Oreochromis niloticus: one gene and its partners. The protein of the gene in region 4 purifies or fractionates together with the protein of the main gene of each other region. This does not show direct contact. Links are inferred from orthologs where the notes say so. Each region holds a gene or a part of one and is shown on either strand. Other genes may lie near its edges.

Region 1 (7,693 bases), about 14 Mb from region 4:
AAGGGATGTTAAAAAGCTTTGCACTTCAGCCGCCGCGCATCAAAAAGCTGTTACTCTGCACTGCAACACACCAGCTGACGGAGAAGAGAGGAAACCCTTTCAAGAACACAAACACACAGAAACTCACATGTGCTCACTGAGAACGTAAACACACACGCAGCACACTCACCTCTGATTGGCCACGGGCATGTCAGAGGGGGTTGTCCGAGCCAATCAGAGGACAGTGCCCCTTGTGTCCAGCAGATGCTAACAAAGTCCCTTTTCTGAGCGTCAATCACCTGGACGACAAAGCCAACAACAATTAAAGCGTGAACTCCTGCAAACTTTCACCAGAAATATGTGGACAAACATGTGTGATTTACAATCATAAATCATCCGTATACTTTTAGTCTCAACAGTCCTTTCAACAGTTTAGTGTTCATATACATGATAAACTCAGTGTGTTTACTCATCATCATTCAAAAAAATATAAGTAAAAGTTGATTGGAGGTAAAATGATGGTGGGATTAAAAGATGAGTCCAGTTTATTACAGCCTGCATTTTGTTTTTGGGGGGAAAATCTTGGACGTTATCCACCTCAGGAACAGGTTGGTATGGAAATCAGTTGTATTTAGGATTCTGTTGATTATCCTTCAAGATTTTGCCGTCAGACTCTGAGAACTTCATGACAATCAATCACGGTACGAGAGCTGCACCTCCTGCTGGTGGCGTCATAAGCTCTTTAAACCCACAGCTAACAGTCGCTACATTAATAATTCGTTTATCGGCCGACTAGCAAGAGCCTCACCTTTTAAAGGTCTAGTTGACTAGTGATGCACATCATGTTTCTTCTTCCTCTGCTCTCAGTTTCATTACGCGTGCACCTCCTCACAGACAGAACAGCAGAAGAGAAATCCCTCCAAACTGATGCTGCTTTCCTTTTAGCTTCCGTGCTACGTCAGCTCTCCCGCTGCTGCTTTTTGGGTCAGAATTTCAGTTCAAATATGAGATTGTGGGTTTTTTTCCCCTATTTGAAGATACAGATGGTAAAAGCTCAGACTCTGGTGTCAGATATAAAGTTATTGTTTTCAAGAGATGAAACCAAAATAACGTCTAAATTTAAAACCACCCAGACTGTAATAAACTGGAATTTAACAACCAAAATAAAAATCTAATTAAACACCAATACTTAAGAAACAAATGAAAATGAGATGTGAAAGAGATTCAAAATATGGGAAGGACAAAGAAAAGATGGGTGACAGGAATGACATAGTGTATGGGAACGAAACGTAGGAAATAACCCATCAAATCAATAATTTTACTTTTATTTCTAGTGACTTACGTTTGGTATTTCAGTTAACTACAAGTATTTTTATTTTTTCATCATCTGTACAAGAAGTGGAAATAAACCTGATACAATAACTTCTATGATTTTTAAAGCCATAAAAATCATCTAAACGTTACTCAACAGAATCATTGATATCATAGCTAAATTTAAGGATCCAAGACTTTAACCTTTGACCCCTCGCCCTTCCCCCTATCACATCCTAAAACTCAGCGGGCCGAAATGAGGCAGATGGTCTAGAGGAGGGCAGAGTGAAGATAAAAATATATATTTATCAAGGAGTTCTGTGTGTTTGACGTACCTTTTGGAGCCCGGGCGAACAATCACAGGCTTGGACGGCTGAGCGCTAAGGGGCCGCTCGCATTTCCTGTGTTTGTGCTTCCCTGGTTCTGACGGGAGAGACAGAAAAAGATGCTCTCAGAGACAAAGAAGGTTTAAATGAAGAGGAAGACACGAGGATACCCATCAAACAGTCCACGGTGCGTTCAGGGGCTTGTAAATCACAGCTCTCATGCACAGAAGAGCTGTAAAACACACATCGTCGGCAGTTTACATGAATATTTAATTTACTGGCTCTTTGGTAATAGTTTCACATGTGACAATTTAAAGGAAAATCCAACGTTAAAGCGACAAGTGATGAACAAATACATTAGTTTATGTGAGAGGCGTTTCTTCTCAACCTGCTCTCCAAGTTAGGTCTCATGTGTGTCCCAGTTTGTGATGTTTTAATTATGAAGATTGAGATGTTTATTATATCAGTGCTTTTGTGAAAATGCCAAATGTCTTCCAGCGCTGAGAAATGAGGATCATGCTAAGCTACTCTAGCGGAGCTGGAAATTTGTGTAAAAGCTAAATTGTTAATGAAAGTTGCGGCTTAATCACTTTGTTTAAGCTTGTTTGGTACTATAGCTGATTAATCCTTTCAGCCCTGCTTTCAGTGAAAACGGGATGTAGACAACATAAAGCAGCTCGCTGAATCGGTCTAGCCTCGTTTTGATCTTTCTCACCCGGTGGCTGACCTCACCTGGGTCTGCCTCCAGGTGAAAAAGAAAACATCCGCACACTTGTCACAAAAATAAGCCTCCCGCTAACGTGTTAAATCTGCACCAACACGGGGTTTAAAGTGCCCTTGGTTTCCGTGTTTACTTCTTCAAACAGCAGCGGGGGGACAGCGTGCTCCGAGCCGCGGCTGGAGCTCCAAAACAAAGGCTAACGCTGGCGGATAACGGTCCCCACACTCGGCTGTAAGGACGGAACATGGCGGCGTACATTTGTGGAAGATAAAGGAGGAAACTGTCGCAAACTGAGCGGATATTTCACTCCGTGTTTGTCTAAACTCGCTGTCACGACTCCGAGCTGGAGCTACAGGGGCTCCGACAGCTGCTTAGACCGGCGGAGCCGCTTTAGCTTAGCCTAAATCCAGCCGTCTCACCTCGGCGGTGCGAATCTCCACAACCCCTCTTCGACCAGCCAGCTCTGGCTCCGTCGGACATCAAGTTGCGAGTTCGATTCCGAGATCAAGAAAGCGGGTGGCAGCGTTGCACTGCCATGGTGGCATCAGCGTCCATCTGCCAGGCGAACAGACCCCCTACACGGAGCTAAATTAAACGGGTAAAAAGCCACAGCGGACCACAGGCTCTGCGGACGCCATTTTCTGCACCGGCGTCATTTCCCTTTTGGGCGGAACTGAAGGGCGTAGTGCGGCGCTGCATCAGAGATCGTATATTTACCAAGAGGAATCACTCCAACGAGAAAGAAAAAATCCCTAAACATACCCGGTTTGCGATGATGGCTACTCACTCAAACCAAGCACGAAGAGAAAAAAAGCACAAAAACACGTAAAATGATTTTTTTTTGTTTTTTAAAGAGATGCTAAATTGCCCCAAAGTTATTGAAAAAAACTGCGCTACACACTTTCACATGAATAATGCACTCACATAAATGTACAAATGCCTTGGTCAGTCCTCAATCATGCAGGTAAAGAATTTCCAGAAAGTTCACTTTGTTCATCTGGACGTCGCGTTTTCACTCATCAGCGTGACTTCTTCAGACTAAGCGGACTGCGGGGTTTCCTGATCTCATAATCAGTCCATCTGCATAAGGACTGAAACTTGGTGTCAGTTTCGTCATCGTTAATATGCAAATTGTGACGATCGTTGATCAATGACCATGAGTACCATTCACACTTAATCACAGCGTTTCATCTCATCACACAGAAATCTGTACATACATGTACACCGAATCTGGGCCGTAGGCGAGTTCAGAGCGCCCCTAAAATAACTATATTAACAGTACTAATCGCTTAAATAAGACTTTGTTGTTGTGGCAGAAAGAGCAGTTCTAATTTAATGACACAAATCAGTGATGCAGATTTAAAACATACTTTTACTAAAATGGAGAGAGCAGGAACGAAGACACCAGAGAGAGAGAAAAGAAACAGGCAAGAGTGGACATGTGGTCAAATTCACCAAATTATTCACCAAAAATTAAAAAGCTGTAGCTTCTGTTTTACCAACATACTCTGATCATGATTTCTCACATAACACCACAGCACACTGTTTATAAGTGTTTATAAGCAGTGTGCTGTGGTGTTATCAATTATGGATCCTCAACCTGCTCTTATAATAATTTTTATAGGAATATATTTTTGTTATTTTCTAGGTGAGTGAGGAGGAGAGAGAGGAAAGAGGTTGTACATGAACAGGAGAAATGAGGGAGCAAATAGTGAAGTTGGCTGGAAAAACAAAAGTTATTTTTCACAGAGTAGTTTTTCATGTATTTTGCTGAGGCTTTGTGTGCTTTCCAGTAGGACACTTAAAAAATGCCAGTGGACATTCTAAACAGAACATATTGATATGAATGGTGTTTTACAGGATTTACACTGTCACTCTAAACATGGCTGAACAGGATACCTGCCACTGCACTGATGTGACGGACTACAAATCTATTCTCCACTTGTGAAATCTGGGTACATGATGCTAAGTCTGTATAACAAAGGGAGGGATTGTGTTTCTTTTCTTTAATATAAAACAATTCTATTGTCTATCGTGTACAGGTCTATGTACTGAATAATGCTTCTTTATGCACTTCATGCTGCTGTGGACTGCCTCTATGTGATTAACAGACTGAATCTGCTTTGCCACAAATAGTTTAACTTCTTTTATGACTGAGCCTTTGCCTTGGTTTTGAAAATTAAAGGCTCCACCCGAAAACGGGTGGATCGGATTAAAATCTTTGATTATTCACTCTGAATTATTCTTAGACACAACAATAAGACATCAAACTAACTAACTTACTAACGTACTAACTAACATGTATCCAACTGAACTGAGGTTTGGAAATGTGAAAAGGGCTGATTACATTTGCAAACAGCATATTCCATTAATAATAGTTACAAGGCACTGTCTGCATGAAATTATGATTAGAAGCTGACCCACCTAAAAATTAGAATCCTAGAATCGCCCCTGCTCTGTACTTTCCTGAAAGATAAATGAAAAGTTACCATCGCAACACGATTTTGCTTTTCTAACAATTAAAAAACACGAAGAAGAAAACTTTAATGTAACTTTAAAGTTTGAATGGATGGATTTACCACAAAGATGCTCAAAATTACCTACAAATGCCCCTTCACTGTTGGACAACATCTCCCACCCCATGCATGAGACTGTGACAGCACTGAGCAGCTCCTTCAGTGGGAGACTGCGGCACCCACGGTGTGGGACGGAGAGATTTCGCAGGTCTTTCCTCCCCACTGCTGTCAGACTCCACAACAAAGACTTCAACTGATCTAACACACACATCCACACATGTGCAATAACACTAATGTGCAATAATCTTTTCTGGCATCGTTGTATTTTTACTCAGTTGTATAAAGCATTTGTATTCTATTTTTATCTTATTGTATATTTTATTCTATTTTATTCTACTGTATATAGTATTTTATTTTATTCTATTCTGTACAGTTGTGTACTGTATTTATTCTTATTTTATTTTATTCTAATCTTTGCTTCATAACTTTTGCACTGTCCACTTTCTGCTGTGACAAAACAAATTTCCCACGTGTGGGACTAATAAAGGTTATCTTATCTTATCTTATCTTTACTTTCACCCCGGAAGTGGGTGGTGGTGGGGTCATTAAGTGTACCTGATGTTTTCACAGCCTAAATAATGAGTGAATTATATTTTAACCATAATTGGTATATCCTAACTTTTCCTCACTAAAAATGTTTCCCGAAATCAGGCTTTATAGCGTTTTAATTTTGAACTACTATGAAATAATAGTAACCCTACTCAGGTAGACCAAACAGCCAGAACTACAAAAAGTTAGTTAGATGACGTAAATAAATCGCGACGGTCCGATCACATGGATGAACGTATACTTCTTTCTTTAAAAGGGGACTAAATTTGGGACGCATGACTGTTTCCCTGATGAGCAGCTGTTAATGGGATACGAACAGCAGCAGTGTGGGGTTATTAAACTGGTTTAAATTTACAGCAGAAACTGAGAACCGCTCCGGTTGTTGCATCAGCCCTCGAGAAAGGACCCAACTACATTTTTACTTGGGCGGATCGCTTAAGTTTAAAATTATACCTGGAAATTACCGCTAAAAAAAAAACATACCGCACAACGCTGTAATAAGTTCTTCCAGGCTTCCAGGGAGTGAAATTTATTTTGGCTGAAAACATTTTTAGGCGAAGAGGAGTGCCGGTTTAATCGATTGATCAGGCATTCGGTCGGGCCTCCTTATTCATTCCCTTTTCTTTCAAGATGGCGGGCGACGAGTCAGGCACAACGCTCGGTCAGCCTCACTTGGCCAAACAGGACCTCAGTACTCTGGTAAGTGTCTGTTTATCGTGTTTTACAGCAGTGTGGTTTTAAGTTGGCGGCTGTCGGTGGCCCGTTGTTTCAGTAAAACGGTCACAGAAAGCCGGGAGAATAGTAACGGATACCGGTGCTGCGCCACCCGGCACATGACGCAAGGGCCCAGGCTGGGCGGAAAGCTCAGACCCGTTGCACTTCCAGCACGAATTGCAGCGTTATTTCAGCCATATTTAACACGATTCACACGTTGAAAGACTTACACTTGATATTAATAGATATCAGCGTTATTGAAGCCTGTTTATCCCGGTTTAATTTTAGTTAGCTCCACGGAGTTAGCTCCATCTTTGTTAGAATCTAGAAAATGGTTCTTAATGTTTAGTCCGGCATAAAAACACCTTTATAAGCTTATATCCTTCCTGTTAGTCCAAGCTGTAAAAAGAAACCATACACTCAGCTTGTAAAGCTTTCATTCTAACTCATTTGATTTACATTGTTATAGCTCATATTCTCACCTTTTATATAAATGGAAAATTAGTACCAAAAATGTTGGTCAAAGATGCGACTCTTAGCGTGTTTTTCGTGTTTATACTAAATAACATTAGTCTTTATTCAACATAAGTTCTCGTTAGTTGTGACTTATGAGATGAGAACAAAAACACTACGTGTAGTGCTGCATGTGTCCTACAAGGGAAACAAAACCTTATTGTTTAACTGTAATCAGGGCTTGTGCCATTAAAATAGTCCTGTTTTAGTGCTCTTCACACATTGTAGTCGCTATCAAACTCTTTTATTCCCAGACACAGTCATCACCTGAAACTTTGCTTCTTTAGACACTCCTACAATAAAATTCCTAATGATTTCTGTTATATTGTTGGAAAAGTAGAGTACTTGTGGATTGTTGCAGTTCTGTGTTGCTTTATGAGAACAATCCCGGGTGGTTTTGTTTCTGCCTGTGAGCTGCTGCCCCTCTTTGTTCTTTAGGATTAAGCACACCGCTCACTCTGATGCGGTTGGTCCTGGCATGACGAGTCATTAATCTGCGTTGTTCTCTTTGTCAGGACGTGTCGACCTTGACGCCTCTCTCTCCGGAGATCATCAGCAGACAGGCCACCATCAATATCGGTATGGAAGACAGCTGATCGGATTCGATGTCTCTGTAGGGTTTGATAGGGCTTGACCTCCGTCTTCTTCTCTCTTAGGCACCATCGGTCATGTGGCCCACGGAAAGTCCACAGTAGTGAAAGCTATTTCTGGCGTGCACACCGTCAGGTTCAAGAATGAGCTGGAGAGGAACATCACCATCAAGCTTGGATATGCCAATGCTAAGGTAAGGGAGTGAATTTTCTTAGGTGTTCTTATTATTTTTGCCTATTTTTGGACCTCAGTGTTTTAGATTAAAGAGCAGTGGAAGTTTGTATGTTCAGGATTTACTCTTTCAAACGTGAGCTTTCCCATCTACAGGCTACAAATGCAAACACATTTAACTTTATTGTCAATACAAATTGTTACCACAGGTAACAGAGCATTTACATAAAATGTCTGTGATA
Region 2 (8,010 bases), about 7.7 Mb from region 4:
TTTAATATTTCGTCTTCTTCATGTCCAATGCATTGTATATTTTCACAGCAATTGTGCAGTTATCCCTCCACTCCAACAGAGCACAATGGTCCAATCAAGATTTTAGTCATGCTAAACTAACTGCTACTTAATTCTAATTTAGATTTTAAATACTCCAAAGTTACTTACTGCGTACGGATACGACTGCACTCTCCGTGGGAAAAACTGGAGCCTCTACATCTGCCTTTTTCTCTCTGCACACAAAAACATTTGTTTGCAGTTTCATAATTTCACTGAACTCTATAAACAAAACTAATACGACTCCAGTGCCGCAATTATTTTCCATTTAGATTTTATTTCTGGGGTCTGACCTCTGCTAGCATGCGAGTGAAACTGCGATAGCCTTTCAAGGAAGAGGAGGCGGTGGCCAGCAGGATCTGAGTGCGGATCTCACTCCGGTCCACTTCGTGTGTGTCAGGTTGGGTGTCCACTAAAGGGAGAACACAAAGAACAAGCCTCAGTAGGAGCTCACATTCAACAACAAGCTCTCAGAACTTCAGGCATGCTCCGATTAGCTGTCCTACATATTTGAGAGAACAATCCATGGAAATTTTTGACAATTGAAACATTGTTTTATGTTTGATCCATCACTGATTGACAGACGATGCAAAGAGAGGAAAAGAAGAAACACACAAAAGGAAGAAGAAACAGTATTTAGGCCTCACTAGTTCTAGAAAATAAAAAACTGAATTGAAGTTTCCATAAATAACATTTTTGGGATGGCAGAGAAAACAAGACAATAACATTAGTGTAAGGTTTCATGTCTCTAAATGAAACCTTACTGACATTCATCCACTGCTTCACTACTTGGAAAGAGAAGACATCGTCCTAAAGTAATTATATGTATTTCTGCACTGCAATGGCTGCACTCTAAATAGATCTGTTAGCTTTCCATATTATGTGATCATTGTAACGATGCATTTAGGGGTATAAATGAAGAGTAAACCAACAAGTAAAAAACTACTTATTTTCCTGCCCTGTGTCAGTGGGAGGTTACCTGGTGGATTATAGCGGTCACCCAGCCGTCCATCCCAGGCCCCATCGCTGTCTTCATCAGAGTCAGAATACGACTGGACCAGCTGCAGCCCCGTGGCTCCACTGCCATGGACCAGTCTTACCTGACCCCTGCACATGCAAGCAACCAGTCAATTAATCAGTTATGATTAATCTAATTATCTATTGCCCTAGTGCAAAGATGTAACTAGAAAGAAAAAAAAAGACTTGATAGGTGGAAACCAAAGCTAAATGGTCCAGCTGTACAACATGTAGCAATGACGACATTTAAACGCTAAAGAAGTGAGAAATGTTAAATGTTTTTTCTTGCAGATCTCGGTTCCCTCTGGTCACGAGAGCAGGCCCTGCCAATGTCACGGTTCACTAAAGAAACTATTAGAGGAATATCCAAAAAAATTCCCAGCCTCTCCAAGTGCAATTAAATCAAACTGAAATGGGAAAACCTTAACCCCCACTTAGCTTTGCAGCACTGGAATGTGATGTGACATTTCAATTATTTGCTCTTTGGCAGTGAGATAGAACACTGCATGCATTACTTCTATTTGCCTCTAAATGTCATTTAATAAGCGCCCGATACGCTCACCACACACAAGTCATTTTCACTGCAGCAACTACACACATATGTGATAAAGGCTTCTGTCCTAGTTCTGACTTCAAGAAATGTAAAGTAATGAACTAATGCTACAAGTCCCCAGGGCAGTCCAAAAACATGTAGTCCTCACCACTTGGATGCCACCACGAAACGCCTCTGGGCAGTAATTTTGAAGAATTATCTCATTCTAATTTCAGTTGTCAGCAGGACGTATAAACTGCGCACACAGAATCACCAGCCATGTGTTAATAAAAAGCTTTCTTCCCTTGCCCCCAACAAGTTTTACTTCTATCAACATTTTTGCTGTTGCAGAACTCTCCCACAGTTTGAATTGTGGAATGCTTTGAGTGCCATCATCTTTAATAACCATTACGTCTCTCGGCTAAAAGGAGGAGCTCTTGCTTAAGACTGCTGCCTCCATGACCCAGACAAGTGGTGGATGGATGTATTGCACTGCACCATTGCATATTGCTGCCAAGTGGTATGACTTGCTACTAGAAGGACTTTGACTTTATTGCACTTGTGTTTTTATGTATTAATTGCTCATTTTTACTTCTGCTAGTTATGACCTACTTTCACCAAAACAGCTCCATAGTACCTCTGCTACAAACCTGGGCCCTGGGTGGTATCAGATTGAGCGTTTTTAACAGTGAAAATCACCTCCTCAGTAAGTAAGCCAGCACTTCTGCTAAGTCAACGTCCTCCTCTGATGAAGACTGCCTGTCCGTCCTGCGGCCTCGGCTGCTGCTGCCGCCCTGGTTTGATTCTGTCGCTTCAGACTGCTCTCCTGGGTTGCCACTGGAAGAGCCCCTTCCACCAGACATCCCAGAACTGGACTGTGAGCCCATAGACTGAAGATGGCCTACCAGAGAGAATAACGAGACGTGTAACAACAATTTCAGGGTTACCTGACAACGTCACGTGATCCCAGACACCTTAGAGAGGGACGAGAAGCACAGCAGCTAGGAAATAATGTTTGCTGGATACGGCGTTAAACCTAAAACAGCTAAAGTTACTGGCGCAAACCTCTCCACTCCTTCAGTACAAACTAACTATCCGTGTATTGCACATTAGCTCGTCATGTTTAAAATGCTTGGGGAATATTTAGTTCGAGCTAGCTAATAATGCTAACGATAACATTTGGCTACCGTTGGACTGTCAAACGATCTTCTTGACAGCTCGTCGGTCCACCTCTTTGTCGTTTCTCCGCGAACTGGATCGTGTGCTCGGTGTACAACTTCCGCACCGTCTAACACAACCCCCTCACAAAGCTAGAGAGCCGGAGGTCTGAGAACACAGTGTTTGATCAGTCTGCTAGCAGAGCCAGTCCGTGAATCGCCATGTTGTTTACAAAAGTGTGAAAAAACCCTGCGCGTGCCCCCCCCGCTTGCCCTTTCGGCGTCACGTGACCAGCCCGGTTGTATAAGCCGCTGCCAGCGACACAATTTACCATGAAGCTATTCAAAAAATGAAAGTATTTATTGCTAGGTTTAAATAAAGTTTAGAGTATAAAATAAACCAGATGTTTTTTGTTTGTTTTGTTCTTTTGCCATCTACAAGGAATTTTTACTCAAATATATTATTTTATCATTTTATTATTTTATTTTGTGAAGAAACATAATAAATATAATCTATATGTAATATATAATATAATTGAATTAGAATATTTCTTAATGTATTTCGTATATTTATATGTCCAGAGCATGTACAGCCCATCTAGGCGTCACATAACTTTAACATAAGGATAAACATCAGGCTTTAGTCGTACACTGAAGGGGCTCGTAATGAATGGACTTGGACTTTTCTGGCTAGTACCTCCTAAGTTCTCAGGAACATGAAACTGCTGTTTTGTTGTTTCCGAAAAAAGAAAAACAAACTAAAATGAAAACAGCGCACAGAGTAAAAGTGGAAGGAAACTAAGAATGATAACATGTCAGGCTAAGCAACTTAAAGTGCCACTGAGCAATCTATTTTATTTATTGTGAACGGCTGTACTGCTCAATCCTGTGTCACCTCCACATAATGAATCAAGTCTGAGGTTGCTCACGGTAAAGAAGGTGTTTGTCATCTATGCCCGGGGGGGTCTATAATTTAATAACCCGTCTATTTTTTGACACATGCGTTATTTAGGTCCTACAAAACAGTCTATCAGTCCCCCAGGGTTGGGCTGCCAGGGCCACTGTGTGGACGTGGGGCTCAAAAACCCAACTAACTTCGCCTCTAAAATCTACATTTTAGAATGTGTTCCGGAGGGTGTCACAACAAATAAAATGTAAATATGAAGAGAAGAAGGTCTGAGTCATCAAAGCCCACAACATGTGACTTCTGAATTCATGACATGTCTGCAAGCTCTTTATCGCAGAACAATTTGCTGACAGGGTACAGGAAGATTCAAACAACATACTGACAGCTGAACCACTCATCCAGGGCCTCTCACTTACAGATGGGCCTTGGGCTGAAAACTGACTAATTTCATGTGTTACATGTTTTACAATATATTTATTTTATTATTTACCAAACACCAGTGGATATCATACAAGTTATATCTGAGAAGGCACATTTATAGGCACAAAACAGCCTCGGATACAGGCTGTAATATTGTTAGGAATCATCCATTATTAATGATCACTGGTTTAAGAGTTATTGTTTTAGATGATGATTGGTGACTCTAAACTGCCCATAGAAGTGAACCACTCATAATTTCTCACCAGATATAAAATGCAAACAACCTCAGCAGAATTTACTCTTGGTTTTGATGTCTGGCTAATAAACTTCTGCTCCAACATCTATCACATTGTAAGCGTATGCAGACTGCCTTAGGTTTACTCTGTTTTTCTTTTGCTACAAGTATGACGTCCTGACTTATGGGCCGTGGTGTCCATTAAATAAGTGTTGTTGCAGTTTGAAACACTCAGACTTCTCTTGTGATTACTGTACATGGAAGCTGTAAATGGTAACAGGCAGCGACGGATCTAGAAAATTTTACATGTGAGGGCAAAGGAGGAGCAAGAGATCTACACAGGGTAGCACATACCTCTGTAAATGGAGTAAACAAAATATCCACAAAAAGTATATATAAATATATATAAATTTATTATATTGTTATCTCTTCTAAGAAAACAAAGCCCTCCCCCCCACCAGATCCGCCCCTGATAACAGGACTGGTGCTTATAAAGCACCTTTCTACTCAGTTTGAGCCCTCAAAGTGCTTTGTATAATAAATCTAATTCACCCAGTCACATACAGCGTCATGCAGTGCTTTCATCTATACCTACACACCTTTAGCTAACATTCTCACACACTCACACTCTGATGGATGCATCAGGGGAAACTCAAAGGGCTAGTACTTGCTCAAGGATACTTTTATAACTGGGAATCGATCCACTGCATGTCTGATTCGTAGACATCCATCCATCCATCCATCCATCCATCCATTCGCTTCCGCTTATCCTTTTCAGGGTCGCGGGGGGCGCTGGAGCCTATCCCAGCTGTCATAGGGCGAGAGGCGGGGTACACCCTGGACAGGTCGCCAGTCTGTCCAGTCTGATTCGTAGACAATGTTTTTTTTTGTTTTCTTTTAAATGAAGGGATCATCTACATTCTGCGTGACACAGGACTCCCTGTGTAACAACTCCTGCATGAAGTTGGCCTCCTGTGCAGTCTCCCTGTGAACAGGGCCAGCTGTCTGTGCACAGCAGAAGCCATGGTGTGTGTGGTGTGAATTCCAGGTGTCCAGGTGAATCTGCCTACAACAGGTGCGGAGACCTAATCAGCAGGAGAACCAGTCTACACCTCTGAGAATCCTCCTCCATCGCCTCCACCTAACTGGACATGACCCAAAATGAAAGAGGATTATCCATGCATGACTCTGGTAATTTATCATTGATACAAGCTGACGTGCAAGAACATGTATTTTTTTTTGCAGCTTAAAATATACAGTGTTTTCCTCTTGCTAATGAATATATCACCATTAAGTAGACGCACAGGACTATTAGAAATGTTGTCCTTAACAGACAGCACTGATGGAGCTTAAAGAGCCAAACTTAAAATGCAAGGTTCTTAAGGTCACAGTTTGTCCTCTAACTGTTTGTTTGCCTCCTTTTTCTGTAACCATCACTGAACTGACTGATTTCTATCTAATCTCTGGTACACATCATGACAAAAAAAATCTTTTTGAAGAAAACAAACAGGTAGTCATGAGGCGAGGAAGCTTTTTAATGACATCACTCGAGCACTTTTTTTTTTCCCACCGTGAACAACACGCTCAGTGCAGCCCCTTGTGTGTCTCTGCAGCAGGCAAACATTTTCTCATGATCAGATTTAAGATGATAATAACTCTAACAATGCATGTAACCGTAAACGTAAACAATAGGTTGAAGGAGGAAATATTTCTGGGACAATCAAGATGCTGCGCAATAGCTATTTTGACTTAAGTGGCAGGACATGTTTTTTTTAGTTGAAAGGGTGCAGTCCTCACTCTGTTCTGTGCAACCTGGGTCTTAAATTGGATCTAACACTGGCTATTTGGAGCCTATTTATCCATAGCTCCAACTTACAGATGTGACCTGAACGTGCAACATGCAGGGAAGTTACTGTTTTGGAAGGAGTGCAGCTATAAGGATACACTCACTAAATGTGTGTGATTGTGCCCTTTTGAGACATGGCTGTGCACAGGAGGCTTTTGTTTTGTTGGGGTTATAATTTGGGTTTAAGGGTTAAAACTAGGATTTGGGTAGGGTTTGGCACCTGATAGTTTATTTTAGGATTAAGAGGTTGGGGAATGGATTAATGTCAGTAAATGTTCTCATACAGACAGGAATACAAACATACCTGCACCCTCCGCCCACATACACACAATCAACTGTAGTTATTCATGTATTATTGTGTAATTACTTAATAGTTACTTAATAATGACGTGGACGTGACAAACTAATCAGTGCCTCCAAAAACTGTCTCGCCTAAAGGTGACTGCTTGCAAAGCATGGCATATGTCAAAAGATATGTATCTACATGTAACAGGTCAAAGTCTGAACGCTATGTAGAACATTCAAGTGCAAATGTTTTTATTGAGACATTCAAATTTAAACACCGTGAAGAAAGTTTCTGTGAAAAGACAATGGGACGTTTCATCACTCTAAAAACGTGTGCCGAGCAATCAGAAGATCCTCTGCCACATGTCACAAACCAGTTCTTCCTCTTTGAGCCTCTTTGTGAGTACACATCTTTACTCTCAGTAAGAAAACATTGTCATCATTAGCGATAAATTAATATAAACTCTGATTGTATGGCCAAACCCCTCCCAAAAGCCCCTAAAACATAACCTCGCATACAAAAAGTTCACATAGCAATGACAGCAGCCATGGACCATCCAGTAGGCTTTACAGTTTAGAGTCTATTGAGTTTATAAATCTATACTTTATTACAGAATATTAGCTTTTACAGTAAATAAGACCTTTTGTTTGTTCCCATATTTGTACAGATGCAGTATGATCTCTTAGAGGATGTGTTCACTCAGCAGTTTTGCATAGTGCTCAGGGTGATTTCTTTTGAGGTAAACATCCATTTTTCCTTTAACTCGCTGATCTCCAGTAAGCCCTGTGAAGAAAAAGAGAAAAAATTCTTCACTACTTTACAGGTACGCTTAATAATAATCAGTATAAGGCAGCGGATGTGTTAAATGTTTGAGAGCGTATACCCAGCTTTTCCGCCGTTTTTCTGATCTTCTCCAGCGCAGCCTGCTCATCTCCTCCCTCTGGTACAAGGACTTCTATCTCCCCCACATGATAGCCAAAGTCAGCCTGGTCCAGATCGACCTGCACGCCCTCCTCCTTTAAAGTGAACGAGCGCCGTGCTGTTGTAAACTCTGCAAAGCACACCAGGTTCAGTTTGCTCACCCACGACTCATCTTCATGTGAGAAGCCTGCCTCTGACTCTCTGTCCTCTTTTATGACCTCTTTGACTCTCAGGTGAATTTCAGGCAGGCTGGTTATCTCCTTGTAACGGGTGCACAGTGCTGCTGCTGCTTCACCCTGCTTCCCGCTCTGTGATTCTGCTGTTGGGCACTTGAGCTCCCAGCATCCCTTACGTTTACGCAGCCACATGTCCCTCAAAGTCAGGTGAAACTCAGGAGTGTCGAAATACTGGTCGTGAATCTGCCGTTGGCCAATGCAAACTGCTGATGGAAAAAGGGATTTTTAAAAATAGATAATTCAATAAATAAAATTTTAAAAGGCTGATACAGATAATTAAACTTCATCATTAACCAAAGACAGATGGCTAGTGTCACTACAGTTACACAACAACCACAGCAATTAGTGCCATTAAATGCTGGAAAAGCCTTTCAGTGGCCGTTTATAATTCGCCGT
Region 3 (6,934 bases), on a different chromosome or scaffold from region 4:
GCATGTGATGTATAATAACAGGTCTAGGGTGCAGTTTGTGTGCCGATGCTGCTCTGCTGCCACCTAAAGGCAGAATTTGTATCAACAGTTATTTAGACAGCAATCAAACAGTACTCTAAACCTAAACATCTTCAAAATAATAAAGTCACCCTTGAGTTATGTACAATGCTCAAAAAATGAAAGGACCGCTTTTTAATCAGAGTAAAGCATTGAGTCAGTTAAACTGCTGGGATATTGATCTGGGCAGTTAAGTAGCATAGGGGGTTGTTAATCAGTTTCAGCCGCTTTAGTGTTAATGAAATTAATACCAGGTGCACTAGAAGGACAACAATGAACCATCCCCCCAAAAATGAGTAGTTTTACTGATGATGTCAGGGACATTTTTTCTCTTCTCATCTTTTCTGCCTGTTTTTTCACTAATTTTGCATTTGGTGAGGATCAGTGTCACTATTGATAACACAAGGTGATACCTGGACCCTACAGAGGTCCAACTCCTCCAGGGTGGCACATCAATACATGCCACTGCCAGAATGTTTGCTGTGTCTCCCAGCACAGTATTGAGAGCGTGGAGAATATTCCAGGAGACAGGCTATTACTCTGGGAGCGCTGGACAGGGTCATAGAAGGTCCTTAACCCATCAACAGGAGCGGTATGTGCTGCTTTGTGCAAGGAGGAGCAGGAAGAGCACTGCCAAAGCTACAAAATGACCTCCAAAAGTCCGGTGTTATGAATGTCTCTTACCAGACAATCAGAAACAGACTTTATGTAGGTTGGCCTGAGATCTCAACATCCTCTGGTGGGCCCTGTGCTCACTTTCTGGAACTCTGGTGCCCAGCTGGCGGGTCCACCGGTGTCATCCTAAGCACATGTGACAGATGTGTAAGGGTCTGGAAAAGCTGTGGAAAGCATTATGCTGCCTGTGACATCGTTCAGCATGATTGGGCTCATTGTCAGACCCTGCATTGGTGCAGTGCGCCTTGGGTTCCTCCTGGTGCATGACAATGCCCAGACTCATGTGACAAGAGTATGCAGGCATATTCTGGAGGATGAAGGAACTGATACCACTGACTGGCCGTCACACCTCTCATACAACACCTCTCATACTCTGGTCCGTCTGACACTGCCAGGTTGAACCTCAGACTGTTCAGGAGCTCAGTGATGATCTGGTCCAGATCTGGGAGGAGATCCCCCAGGACACAATCCACAATCTCTTTAGAAGCATGCTCAGATGTTGCCAAGCATGTGAGGGCCATAAAAACTACTGAGTACCATTTTGAGTTGCTGCAATGAAATTCAGCAAAATGAAATTTTCGCTTTGGGTTTTTTTTGGGTTGTGTTTGAGTTCAGCCCTCTGTAGGTTGATCATTTTCATTTCCCTCAAACGCTAACAGACTACCCAGTCAATGTCAGTGTAGCTATCCAGCATGATTTGTTTCCCACTGAGATCTAATGTGATTTCAAACTGTTCATTTAATTTTTTTTAGCTGTGTATTTGTTCATTAATTTTAACATATTAATCAAAAATATTTACTTTCCCTGTTTGTTTGTTTTTATTTAAAACTACAAAAAGAATATGCTTGTATAGCTAATTTGTCTTCCTCAGCATTTTTTGCACCATTTTGTAATGGTTTGAGACAGTGTGTCAGCAACAAAAACTGGATTAACATACGTGCAGTCGTTGGGACGGGTGATGTTTAAAGTCAGACACACAAACACATGCGCTAAAAATGACATCCTGTGAGAGAGAAGGCTTTCCTCTGTGGTTCTCAAAGTGAGCCATCTGTCAACAAACTCCGACTCAGCAGGAGGTTGTTTGCTAAACAGGACGAAGGCAACTGTTAACAACCAGATGCTGTCGGCATAATGGAGAAATTGTCACAAATGCGAAAGCTGCTGTCCTGGAGTAATGTGCCATATGGACAAAAGAAAGTGTTTTAGAACTGCTCGTGTTGGTGGGAGAAATATTATGTTGGTCAGTAAGAATATCAAAGGAAACATATGCTAATGCTAATCAGGCACTTGATCGTTGGATGGAAGTTGGTATGGTTTGATAAATACATGACAGTTACCATCAGAAACAAAGACTGATTTGTGACATAAAATAATAAACAAATAGACTGAACTGGACACACATGTTTGAGGAAAATCCTGGAATCTTTCCCAATAGTATTGTCTGTTTGGAAAGGAGTTAAAAAAAGGAAATTGTGCAGCTTTCTAAGTAAACCTTTGCTAAAGTTAAAGTTTATTATCAGAGTCTTAAGGGTGCATATAAAAAAAGTGTACACAGTCACCATGCACCATCACTCATTAATTAATGAACTGAGCATTTTGGGCACTGCCAGCGTTGTTTTAAAAAGCAGGGGTTTAACTGACTGAGAAATGGCAGGAAGGTGCATGTCCGTATGATACAGGCTTGTCAATCACAAGGTAGGTCTGCACTAAAACACAGCATGCTTTATCCTCATTTTGATTCTACTTGGAGCCATAATTGAAAATAACAATAATAATAATGATAATAGAAATCAACATCATGCTGCAATCAATTAAATCTACAATCAAAAACCGAGCCTGTGGCTTATCAGAGCTCATAGACGAGGTACTTTTAAAGTCTCATTACTTGGCAGTGACCCTAAAGTTTTGAAGAATTATTCAAAATAATTACAATAGTCACCGGGATACAAAAACATTTTTGGATCCGTTACAGTTAATTAAAAATTGTTGCTAATATTGACCCAAAGTAAGAAGGTCCCTCTTGGAAGTTCTGCTTCAGTCACAATGGCTGCTGTTGCAAGAGTTTTCTCTTTAGGACTGAGCAGCCTGTCTTTCCCTTCCAATATCTCTGTTAGTTTTCCAGCAGACTTCCTTACAGTCATACTTGTATGTTTTTATTTTTTGCACTTGCTGATTGTTTTATACCACTGGTGGTAACTGGTTGTATTTGTTGCCCTCTTCACGAGATACCTTTTGAAAAGGATATTTTTAATGTCAATAACACCGGATAAATTGGCATAAAAAAATCTACAGTTTCTACCTGTGACAGGAATGTTATTTCTACCACAAAATAACTCAATATCATTCTTGAAAAATATATTTGACAGATCATAAGTCAACAACAAAAGCATTTTACTTAAAGCTACAATGTGTAAATCATCACCAATAGATGTCAGTATGTTGGAGACCGCAGTCAACTGAATTCTGTTTTCTTACCCCTCAAAGTTCAAGTGCTTAATACTTGCTACAGTTACATCTATAGTGATTATATGCTGTCAGTATTTAATCAAGCTGTTAATAATAAGAGGGAAAGTTGTGATTTTTAGTACACTCAAGCCTAACCATAGCTCGAACATTGCTAACCAGCTGTTCTTACTGTTTAGTCAGCTTGTCCTGAGACAGGTGGGTTGCATGTCTAATCTGCTGACAATAAGTAATTGCAACCATATCAGGAGATGAGGCTTGAGGTGAGGAGGAAAAGGATGAATTAAAAATGAGGGTGCATGGTGGAAGAAACAATGACAGTAATAAGGAGATGAGGAAATTATAAATGAGGAGATGTGCAAAATATAAATGTTAAATAATCATACACAGTTTGAAATCACACAGTTTGTGATTATCAAATTAAAAGTGACTTAAAAGTGACTTATAAGACATACTATGTATGTGGTTGATCTTTAGCCACATACATAAAAAGCTATTAGGTGGAAAAGCCATGTCCGTGTCTGCAGCTGTATTAAAGATGGATGGTTTCCAGAAACCAGCGCCTGCTCCTATGTAGTTATAATTGATTATAATGAAAACGCCTCAGATTGCGGGAAGGCCTGATTATACACTAATTAACCTTTAAATACCCGAAATCACTATTTGGCATTTAAATTCTCAATAAATGTCTATGTTTCAATAACTGAAGTGGTGCAGTGTGTTTGCTTAGTTACTCATTTTTGATTGAAGGACACGGACTCGAAAGAGGAACCTTGTTTAGGCTTGTATTTTAAATGGGAATGAAAACAGCGTCGGACGGATGCTGGCGTGAGGAAAGCTTCCTGTTTTGAAGGGAGTCTGCTCTGAGTGACTTTCCTCTCTTATAAAAGTAATTTCGCTAAGACATTTATTTATAATTTAGCAAGTTAAGAAGTGATACATTTGGTAAGTCATGCTGTCATTGACTGCGACACTTTTGTCGCCATTTTTATAACATAACTGTCGTTGCGGTTAGCGTATGTTAGACAAACGGTCAGCTAACGTTAACTGCACGGGTCCAGCTAACTAATCGGTATTAGGAGTAAATATTATTTTATATGAAGGATTTTAAAACCACTGCGTTAGCCTGTTACTGTGACGTGTCACCCACGATATGAATACTTTTGTCAGCTGTACTCAGGAGATAAACTTTGATATCTGCGTTGCGTTCTCTGTTAGACTGACACACCCTCAGCACACAGCATTTCTTTTATGCTTTTAGGAGCTAACCTAGGATCACCGAGGCAGAGCCATGCCTTTCCTCCATGGATTTCGCAGGATAATTTATGAGTATCAGCCGCTGGTAGATGCTGTCATGTGTGTTATTGGACTGGAAGAACGAGATGACATTGGCGAGGAAAGGTAAACCTGGCTATTCGGTTACAGTCCTCTTTTGGCAGTGCTACACTGCCGTAATTAATTGTGTATCAGATAACACACAAAACATTACATATAAGGTGCTTCTTTCTCCTCCTGTCAGGAGTTCTGAGGAAGAATCCGCAATTTCTAGGTCTCTGGTGGAGCTTCTGGAGCAAGAATCCCAGTCAGAGGTGTTTGTGGAGGGGATCAGCTATGCCTTGTTCAAAATGGCAGAGCGGGGTCTGGTGCAGCCAGCAAAAATCCTCCTACGCTACGGAGCTGATCTCAACTTTGAAGGTTAGTAACAGTTTGGGGTGTGTTTTAGATAATGTGAATGTTTTTAACTTGACACTGTATACACATTTGTTTATTAAACCTTGCCAAAGAAAGAGAGAGATCATTTTATGACTGTGCTTAATGTCATTTTTTTTCCTCCTATGATCCAGTAGTCTTGTTGCCAGTCTTGTTGCCAGTCTGGTTCATACAACATTTAAGTGACAGTTGCTCATGCATTTTAGCAACATGCAACTTAATGAGCAAGGCAGAAAGAGACTGATTCATGGCTTTTTTTCCCCGAAAACCCAACTTTACCAGCACCCATACCACAGTGAAATTCTGGTTACCCAAAAATATCATAACATCTATGCTGGCTATAGGCTAGAGAATTGTGCATTTAAACAGGATTCCACATTCACTGGCACAAAGACAGTACGATAGTAAACACAAGCCCGATGTTGGCTATTTGCACATGTATCTTTATTGCCAATAATGATAGCTGATAAATAAAAATTTAAAAAAGCAGAGAAAGAAACACTCTTCAACCAAGATGTGATTGTTGATTTTGAATCACTTATCCACCAGAGGGCACTCTGCAACTTCATTTTTAGAGCACTACAGACACAACAATGAGTGCGTTGTCACCATAAATCATCATATATCAATATCGGTCTTAAAAATCCTATGTTGGTCCGGCTCTAATCAAGCGTATGTACCAACAAGAGCAAGCAAGCTGCTACAATACAAAATCTGTAGGATGAGAAAACAAATTGGAATAGTTTTCTTGGCAGTTTAAAGTTCATTCAGTGTCTTGCCATTCTAGCAAAATTTTCCGCAGCAGTTCCAATATCAGAATCAGAATCGGTATACTTTATTAATCCCTAAGGAAATTATATGGGTTACAGTTGCTCCAGTATAAATAACAGAAACAGACTAGACTATTTAACAATACGGTATGTTACGGATTTAAGAAATAGCACAATATATACAAATCACTAAATAATAAAAATCAAGGATTGACAGAGGTGATTATAAATAAATATCACAAATGTTGACAGGAATATTACAGAGTAGAAAGAGCGTGTGCAAAAAGAATGTAACTGTTGCAGTGTTTACAGTGTATTAGATGGAGGAGTTGTATAGGGAGATGGCCATGGGCAGGAATGATTTCCTGTGTCATTCAGTGATCATGATATGTCATATCATGATACGTGTACTTCAGAACATCAGATTCAGGTCCGCTCAGTCTTTTGTCAGTGAGCGTATTACTAAGATGTGTGTTCAAGCATCATAAGTGAGCTGATGTAGGCCCAGACTGCAGGAAGGGACATCACTAGGAGATGGCAGATGTCATTAGCAGCAGCCTCTGTGGTTCAAGCTCCAGGTCACGATGCTGGCAGAACTGCATTTTTGCAGCAGTCTCCACTGCTCTGGATAGTTTACCTTCTGTTTTCAAAAGCCTGGGGAAAAAAAAGTGTGTGTGTCATTTCTGTGCTACTGATTTGGTTGCTGACACAAAATAACCAAATCCAACACTCCCAATGTGCCGGTAAGCAACAGAAATGTTTGTTAGGCAATGAACTATAGCCAGTTATTTGCCTTCAAACATATTTGTATCACGTTATTAATGACAGGGACGCCTTAAAAATTCTTTCATAGGAATGGCCATATGGGTGGCACACTAAACACAATTTCCCGTTTTTTTTTATTATGCTGTTGTTAAATATTGGATACTTGAAAAATATGGCAAAAAAGAGATAAAGAAAAGAATTATATGCCTACGTAATTTCCTGCTATTAAAGTTGTTATCCCTGAAAATGGGTGAATATGAAAAACAAATACGCAAATTTTGGGGGGTGGCCAGCCCCCCCCGGCCCAATAGCACATTTGTTTCTTGCAACTGAAATTTTGCAAGCTGTCGCAAATGATATTCAAAGTGCTGAATACTGTTTTTGGCTTTCTAATATTCATCTCATTCCTTCCTGGGATAGTTCATTACAGATTACGTTTAATGACTTATACAAACATGAGACCACTGCCATTCTTCTACACGTAACAAGTAACA
Region 4 (7,126 bases):
CGCCTCTGAACTTGATTCCCGATTTCTCCATCGTTGAACACCTCGGTCAGAGTGGAAGCATCTTTCCTCTCGTTGTGAATGGGGACTATGTTTGTGTGGGTATGCTTGTGATGGGATGACAGGGGGGAGGCAGGGGGAGAAATTTTCAAGCCATCTGAAGCCTGAATCTGTCCACGCTGAGAATGAAAATGTGAGGAAGAAATTCAATGTGAAAAAAGATTTACTTTGTAACAGAGTGCTTTTCATTATTTATCTTTCAAGTACTCAGTGAGCTGTAGCTACCTGATAAATGGAGGCATTTCTAGTGATAGAGAATCCTTTAAAGTGTGGTATAAAAATTGCATGGATTATTGCACCAAACACACTAGTGTTATTGTGCACGATCTGCCTATTGAGTCATCAATCTTCTTACCTTGGGACTGACAGAAGATGTTCTCCTCTTTAGCGTTCTGATTTGAGCTTGTTCTTGGAGGAAGAGGTTGTATTCTTTATTTCTCTCCTCTCTCAGTTTTTCCTGCAAGAGAAAACAAAAAGTCAGAGACAAGCAGCCACACCGCTCAGTTAAGCTCATATGACACTTATAATTTAAGAAAATACAAAACTCAAACAATACCATCTTCTATCCAAAGAAGATACATATTCTGCATGCACACATTCAAGATGAAGATGAGGTTAAGGTTATATTATTTCTGAAGGAGCTGGGAATCAAAACAATAAACCTATAAATAATTTCCAATAGGCATTATCACTCAGACTAAGCACTCTCATGATAGCTTAGATGGATGCTTCAAAATCCTACAATAATGGAGTTTTGGGGATTTTTTATTTTGCCTCAATATTTCAAAAATGCTTGCATCAATACTGATTAACATTCAGCTTGTCGTGCACATATAGACACCTGAAATTGCTCTTAACTTTTGTTTGTAAGTTCACGGTTTTATACAAAGAAAATCAGCTGCCATGAAGCGCGCAGCACTGTGCAGTCAGCAGTTTATATCAGTTCTAGCTGAAGAGCTAAAGCTCTACTTTGATGACCGAACGAATGCAGGCACACCTTTACAGATATCCTCTCATCAATCGGTAGTGACACTCCATGAAGTTGTTGTTGAGGCTGTCTACTTTTCAGATCCGTTTTCTGCAGGAAGAATAAGAGATTTGCTGTGTGTCGGCAAATGCAACACAGAGACAACTTAGTTAAACACAGACATAAACTCACCAGCCACTTTGTTAGGTACACCTGTTCAGCTGCTCATTAATACAAATACCAAATCAGCCAATCACATGGCGGCAGCTCATTGCATTTGGGCATGTAGACACGGTGAAGACGATCACCTGAAGCTCAAATCAAGCATCAGAATGGGGAAGGAAGGTAATCTAAGCAACTTGGCATGGTTGCCGGTGCCAGATGGACTGGTCTGAGTATTTCAGAAACTGCTGATCTACTGGGATTTTCCCACACAACCATCTCTGGAATTACAGAGAACAGTCTGAATCCAGGGAACAGTAGTTCTCTGGGTGAAAATGTCTTGTTGATGCCAAAGGTGAGATAAGGGAAGAATAGCAATGATTGCTTCAAACTCATAGGAAACAAACAGTAACTCAAATAACCCTTTGTTATAACCAAGGTATGCAGGAGAGCATCTGTGAACCTTGAAGTGGATAAGCTAAAGCAGATAGTGGTGGTGTAATGGTGTATGAGATGTTTTCTTGGCAAACTTTGGGCCCTTTAGTACCAACTGATGATACTACATATATACAGCCTACATGATTATTGTTGCTGACCATGGCAATCGTTGTGTGACCACAGTATATCCATCTTCCGATCGCTGATTTCAGCAGGAAAATACTCCACCATGTCATAAGCCAAAATCTTGTTCAATCTATGCCACTTAGATTGGCAAAATGGGTCTAATGTGGCGTTAGGAAGGTATACCTAATAAAGTGGCTGGTGAATGTATTTTCGTAACCATTTCTGATATGTCATTCCAGATAAAAACTTCTCGTGTTCCAGTCAATTTTAAGATTAACATTTAAGATTTATTAAGTCTTAAATGTAACACTAATGAAAAAGAAATGTCTAAAATGCACATTTAGGTGTTTTATTCCATTCTGTCAATTGGATATGTATGCAAATTAGCACGTGTTTAATCAGACACCAAATCTTTTAAATAATTCAGCACAGGCTTCAAAAAAATTGCAGTACATAAAATAATTATCTTTCTCATAATTTTCACTTCGGTGGCACTTACATTAAGCAAAGATTTCCAGTTTTATTTAACTTGATATTCTGACTTTAGATTAATTATTTTTCATATACTGTTTAGTCTACTATTTAACAATCTATTACAACAGTGAATGAAAATAACTCAGTAAAAGGTTTTTATTCTAATGCCTTTGTGTGGTGCTCTGTTGTTTATTTCTGTTTTTTTATATTGAGATCGCTTGTTTTGTTTTGGGTTTTTTTTGTTTTTTTTAAACATTTTTTTTAACTGTACAACTTTTACCTCACTAAGCCAGTTTGTCTTGGCATGTTTTTTTTTTTTTTTTTTTTAAATTTTATTTTTAATAAGCTATTCTGATTTATTTAAGACCTTTTCTTATAGGTTATATATAATATTATGCCTGATGTAACAGTAAATTCCTATTGTTTGGGCTAAATTAACTATATATTATATATTATTTTATGTTCAGATTTTAATTTTATTTATTTATTTATTTTGCGTCATCACACCCTGGATATATAGTTTCTGTAGTCCAGCTGGAGCTCCTGCTGAAGTTTCTGCTTCTTCCTTTCATACTCGGTACCCAGCAGATGACTTAAGCCAATACCTGGGAAATACGGCATATATAGAGTAGACTGTGCAATAAAAACAGGAAACTATTCACTAAACACTACAGGCTTAAATAATGCAGCCAATTCACTACTACAGCCTTGTACAGTACCTCTGTCGGGATTGGGGTTTACTCCTAGAGCTGCTGCTGAAGTCATATTTACAGCATTGTGTAATTTGCACCATCTGACCCTGACTGTGGAGAAAAACTCGCTGAAACACCGATTTGTTTATTAACAAGCAACATGTGATTAAAAGAATTGCTTTTTTTTTTTTTTTTTTACTCACCGGTTGATTAGTTTACGCCTATAAACGTTGCTTCGCAAGTCCTTGATCACATATGGCGGGGAGTTTTCTCTTCATGCTTCTCAAAAAAACGTCCCATCGTGATACACAATACACCCAATAAGGCAAACATTGGACTTACAATGGGGTATATAAACATGCGTGTCTATTTTAAGGCTCGGCTGTAACTCTGGCTAGACAAATAAGAAGCCCAAATAAGATGATATATATCAATAATTCTTAAATTTCCACACACAGCTCAAATCTATCCGACCGATCTTTGACAGCGAGCTAAGCCCAAAGCGTCATTCCGTTGCCATGGGCAACCATGACACAAACCTTCTCCTGGGAGAGGCTAGCAAACACATCTAACACAAACATTCAAGAAAATATATCTAATATAGTCCAAATATTAAGTCTTTAATAACTGCAATATTTAACACTAGGATCTGATTTGCTGTTTCTTTTTAATCGTCTTTAAACAACATAAAACCAGGCAAAGTTTATCAACAACATGTTAATAAACTTAACATACTGCTGTTGTCTAAAAATGATACCATCTAGCCTTAACCAGCAGCCCTTTCGGCTATTTAGTAGCTCTTTAACTTACTAGCTGCTGCCTTTTTCCAGAATAGTATTGCCTAATTAATGAATACTAGCTTTAGTTTTATTGACTCATTAAAAACCTCAGCTCCCAGTATAAGTACAATGCCGAGGCTCTAAGAAAAAAGCCCTCACAGATAGATGTAGGTACCTTTCTAAAAAGCGCCGCTAGATGTCAGTGCGTCCCCAGCGGTTAGTTTGACGTCGTCGCAGGACTAAACCATGGCTTCCGTCACAGGGGTAAATATATTTTAATAAGAGTAATAAATACGATAAAAATATGATCAGTGAATGTAATATCATCATATATCATTGTGTTGTAGTGTTAAGAGATGGCTTATAACAAATAAACGCATCAGTGGTAAATATGTGTAATATGAAGACGAACGTCCCCGTCGATTTCACTTTGTTGCGTTGGTATCGCTCACTGTCATGGCTCCTTGAGCGAGTGGCTATCTGCTCCTAAAACGATATCAAAATCTTTCGGGGAGAAATACAGCACTTCTTCCCTTATTTAAAGAAAAAATCGGGGTTTTTGACGGCTCGGGTTTTGCTTGGATACATTATTAACATGGCGGGGAGCAATACGGCTCAGAAAACATGGGAGCTGTCTAACAGCATGCAGGAAGTTCAGAGCATTGATGAAATTTACAAATATGACAAAAAGCAACAACAAGAAATCCTCGCTGCGAAGCCATGGACGAAAGAGTGGGTGCAAAACGACATTGTGGTATTTAGGTTTCTGTCTAAGTATTTAGGTGATTGCTGAGCTGGCGTATTCGTATTACATGTTGTTCGTTGATAGTTTATTGTTAGAACATTAGTGATAGCTTAGCTACAAACTAGCAAACCGGTCTTTATGTCAGTAGCAGTACAGCAAACTGGATGTGTATCTACAATATACGCATTGCTTAATATTATCTAACATCAATGCAAATACATTTGTCATTGTTCACCCTTTAGTCACCACTACTTCAAGTACTGCAAAATCTCAGCTTTGGCCCTGTTGAAGATGGTAATGCATGCCAGGTCTGGAGGAAACCTGGAGGTGATGGGCCTCATGCTGGGAAAGGTGGACGGTGAAACCATGATCATCATGGACAGCTTTGCTTTGCCCGTGGAGGGCACAGAGACCAGAGTCAACGCCCAGGCGGCAGCCTATGAATACATGGCTGCCTATATTGAAAATGCCAAACAGGTGGGACATTGACTTCCACACACATGAAGAGCATCGTGTTTGAGTTATGACTTAGAAAGAAGGAACCGAACTATAGCCTAGATAAAATCAGACTTGATTTCGCTTGAGACATTAACTTAATACTTTCTGTGAATGTCACTGGTTTACAACCATTACTTTTTCTTTTTTTTTTACTTAAAGAAGAGTGTTTCAGCTGATTTAGAACTGTTTTTTTTTTTTTTACTTAATATCAATATGATATTTACAAACTATAAAGGGATTATTTGAAGCCATTACTGTCTTTTTATAGTATTAATATTTTGACAGCCGTATATAACCACATTTGTCTGCCTTTTCCCATGCTGGGTATACGATCACTTACCTCTAACTCATTTTCAAGCACGTTATTGTAGTTAATGTTGCAACCCAAGAAGCAGGAATACAGTATGAATATATTATAAGGCTAATAGGATTTGCACTCTTTTATATTATCTAGAAATCATTGTAAATTTTTGTGTAAATTGTACTATGTAATGAGGTTTCTCCAGTCCCTGTTTAACATACTCTATCCAATACTCTAATGAATTCAAGTGACTACACAAATGTGGAGATTTTTCTTAAAAGAAAAAAGAAAGATAGGAAAATGCTACTTTAGATAAGGATAAAAACTGTAAACTGTGTCAAATACATTAATGTTATTGACATCTTACACTGTCATAAAGAAAATATGATTTTATATTATCTATAATTCCTCAGGTTGGCCGGCTGGAGAATGCGATAGGCTGGTACCACAGTCACCCGGGCTATGGATGCTGGCTGTCAGGCATAGATGTCAGCACCCAGATGCTCAACCAACAGTTTCAGGAGCCTTTTGTGGCTGTTGTGGTAAGATGGGAAATAGTAACCATTTTTATTTTGAAACTAATGGTTTTTGTATTTTTTTAACTGTGACTTCTATTTTCCCACTTTTCAAATGGAGCTTATCCCATATCCCACGTCCCATTAATGTGGGTGTAACTGAGAAGGGGGGAAGATTACTGATGGATGAGTTGTAGATTTGCACGTAGTACTGATGAATATTTTGCTATTACAACCACATATGCTATTTACACTTCATTTGGTTTAGCGGCGCTTAAATGCCAGAGGCATCATGTAATTAAGTGTGTATTTTCAGCACACTGACAGCCCCAGTAAAAAGGCTCCTGGTGGCCACATTTGAGTCGTCCCCAGAGGTTTGTGTGACCCCTGACTCTGTTTTCCTGTTCTACTGTATCTTGCTTCCTATAGATTGATCCCACTCGGACTATTTCTGCAGGGAAAGTCAACCTCGGTGCCTTCAGAACCTACCCGAAGGTAAAGCAAAGACTTTATATAGCAGCAGTCCTCTTTGGTCTTTACTAAAATCACAAAATATCTGCTTTTTTATTCTTCTTGTGCATAGCTATATTTGATCATTTTAGTAGTTTTTATATACTGATGTTATTGTTGTGTATTTATTAAGAATATATTTATAAATTTATTTTCAGTCACTCTGTATTCTTAATTCCTTATTACTGTAGTAATTGCTAGGTTCTTAGTATTTCCTTTTTGGATTTTTAGGGTTACAAACCCCCTGATGAGGGACCCTCAGAATATCAGACTATCCCCCTGAACAAGATTGAAGACTTTGGTGTACACTGTAAACAGTGAGTATTTATATTTGCTACAGTATTGTACCGGATCAAATACTTGTGTAGCATGTACTGTATCACACATTTTTCACTGTTTACTTTATTTTCAGTACTTGCATATGCGCTTCTTTTTTCTCTGTCTCTCTCCTTTTTAGGTATTACGCTTTGGAGGTTACTTACTTTAAGTCCTCCCTTGATAGAAAGCTCCTGGAACTCCTTTGGAATAAATATTGGGTTAATACCTTAAGTTCTTCAAGTCTCCTCACGGTATGTAGGGCATTTCAAAAATCAAAATGTTTGCTATTTGTTTGACATTTTGATTTATGGTTAATTATTACTCTATAACTCATTTAGACATGTGGTCACCAGCTTGTGATGTCATGATTTATTGCTGCTTATTAGCTAAGCGTCCGTGTTTGTTGATTTTAGTAATAAGCTGTACGTGAACTTTTTTCACAATGGAGATAAGTATTAAAGCTGGAGCCGACTCCATGATGCTCCTTTTCCCCCTTGCTGTTCGTTCGAAAGCCTGAAAGCCCCTCATGTAAATTTGCATTGAG

What was found.
Region 1: the proteins of cops5 (region 4) and klhl15 purify together in Homo sapiens (affinity purification with mass spectrometry; 3 studies listed by BioGRID and IntAct, with this or other methods). This does not show direct contact. The link is inferred for Oreochromis niloticus from reciprocal best matches to the Homo sapiens genes COPS5 and KLHL15.
Region 2: the proteins of cops5 (region 4) and dcaf11 purify together in Homo sapiens (affinity purification with mass spectrometry; 6 studies listed by BioGRID and IntAct, with this or other methods). This does not show direct contact. The link is inferred for Oreochromis niloticus from reciprocal best matches to the Homo sapiens genes COPS5 and DCAF11.
Region 3: the proteins of cops5 (region 4) and asb6 purify together in Homo sapiens (affinity purification with mass spectrometry; 3 studies listed by BioGRID and IntAct, with this or other methods). This does not show direct contact. The link is inferred for Oreochromis niloticus from reciprocal best matches to the Homo sapiens genes COPS5 and ASB6.

What each region holds. Positions count from the first base shown.
Region 1 is NC_031974.2:5,866,990-5,874,682, forward strand, and holds the start of klhl15 (kelch-like protein 15), read right to left. Parts: upstream 3,013-7,693; 5' UTR 2,818-3,012; coding exon 2,757-2,817; intron 1,714-2,756; coding exon 1,626-1,713; intron 1,007-1,625; exon of another isoform or gene 788-1,006; intron 279-787; exon of another isoform or gene 190-278; coding exon of another isoform or gene 170-189; intron 1-169. Other genes in the region: eif2s3 (eukaryotic translation initiation factor 2 subunit 3), read left to right, coding at 6,093-6,161, 7,205-7,268, 7,346-7,473. UniProt on the Homo sapiens protein: Substrate-specific adapter for CUL3 E3 ubiquitin-protein ligase complex.
Region 2 is NC_031974.2:27,092,381-27,100,390, reverse strand, and holds the start of dcaf11 (DDB1- and CUL4-associated factor 11), read right to left. Parts: upstream 3,017-8,010; 5' UTR 2,794-3,016; intron 2,508-2,793; 5' UTR 2,494-2,507; coding exon 2,306-2,493; exon of another isoform or gene 2,208-2,305; intron 2,127-2,207; exon of another isoform or gene 1,173-2,126; intron 1,165-1,172; coding exon 1,037-1,164; intron 470-1,036; coding exon 351-469; intron 234-350; coding exon 169-233; intron 1-168. Other genes in the region: thtpa (thiamine-triphosphatase), read right to left, coding at 7,140-7,240, 7,341-7,820. UniProt on the Homo sapiens protein: May function as a substrate receptor for CUL4-DDB1 E3 ubiquitin-protein ligase complex.
Region 3 is NC_031977.2:11,038,969-11,045,902, forward strand, and holds the start of asb6 (ankyrin repeat and SOCS box protein 6), read left to right. Parts: upstream 1-3,933; 5' UTR 3,934-4,084; exon of another isoform or gene 4,085-4,140; intron 4,141-4,456; 5' UTR 4,457-4,486; coding exon 4,487-4,596; intron 4,597-4,714; coding exon 4,715-4,890; intron 4,891-6,934. UniProt on the Homo sapiens protein: Probable substrate-recognition component of a SCF-like ECS (Elongin-Cullin-SOCS-box protein) E3 ubiquitin-protein ligase complex which mediates the ubiquitination and subsequent proteasomal degradation of target proteins.
Region 4 is NC_031974.2:19,440,070-19,447,195, reverse strand, and holds the start of cops5 (COP9 signalosome complex subunit 5), read left to right. Parts: upstream 1-4,114; 5' UTR 4,115-4,290; coding exon 4,291-4,427; intron 4,428-4,682; coding exon 4,683-4,917; intron 4,918-5,652; coding exon 5,653-5,781; intron 5,782-6,183; coding exon 6,184-6,249; intron 6,250-6,495; coding exon 6,496-6,581; intron 6,582-6,721; coding exon 6,722-6,833; intron 6,834-7,126. Other genes in the region: cspp1a (centrosome and spindle pole-associated protein 1), read right to left, coding at 1-176, 413-514, 1,055-1,135, 2,732-2,829, 2,944-2,989. UniProt on the Homo sapiens protein: Probable protease subunit of the COP9 signalosome complex (CSN), a complex involved in various cellular and developmental processes.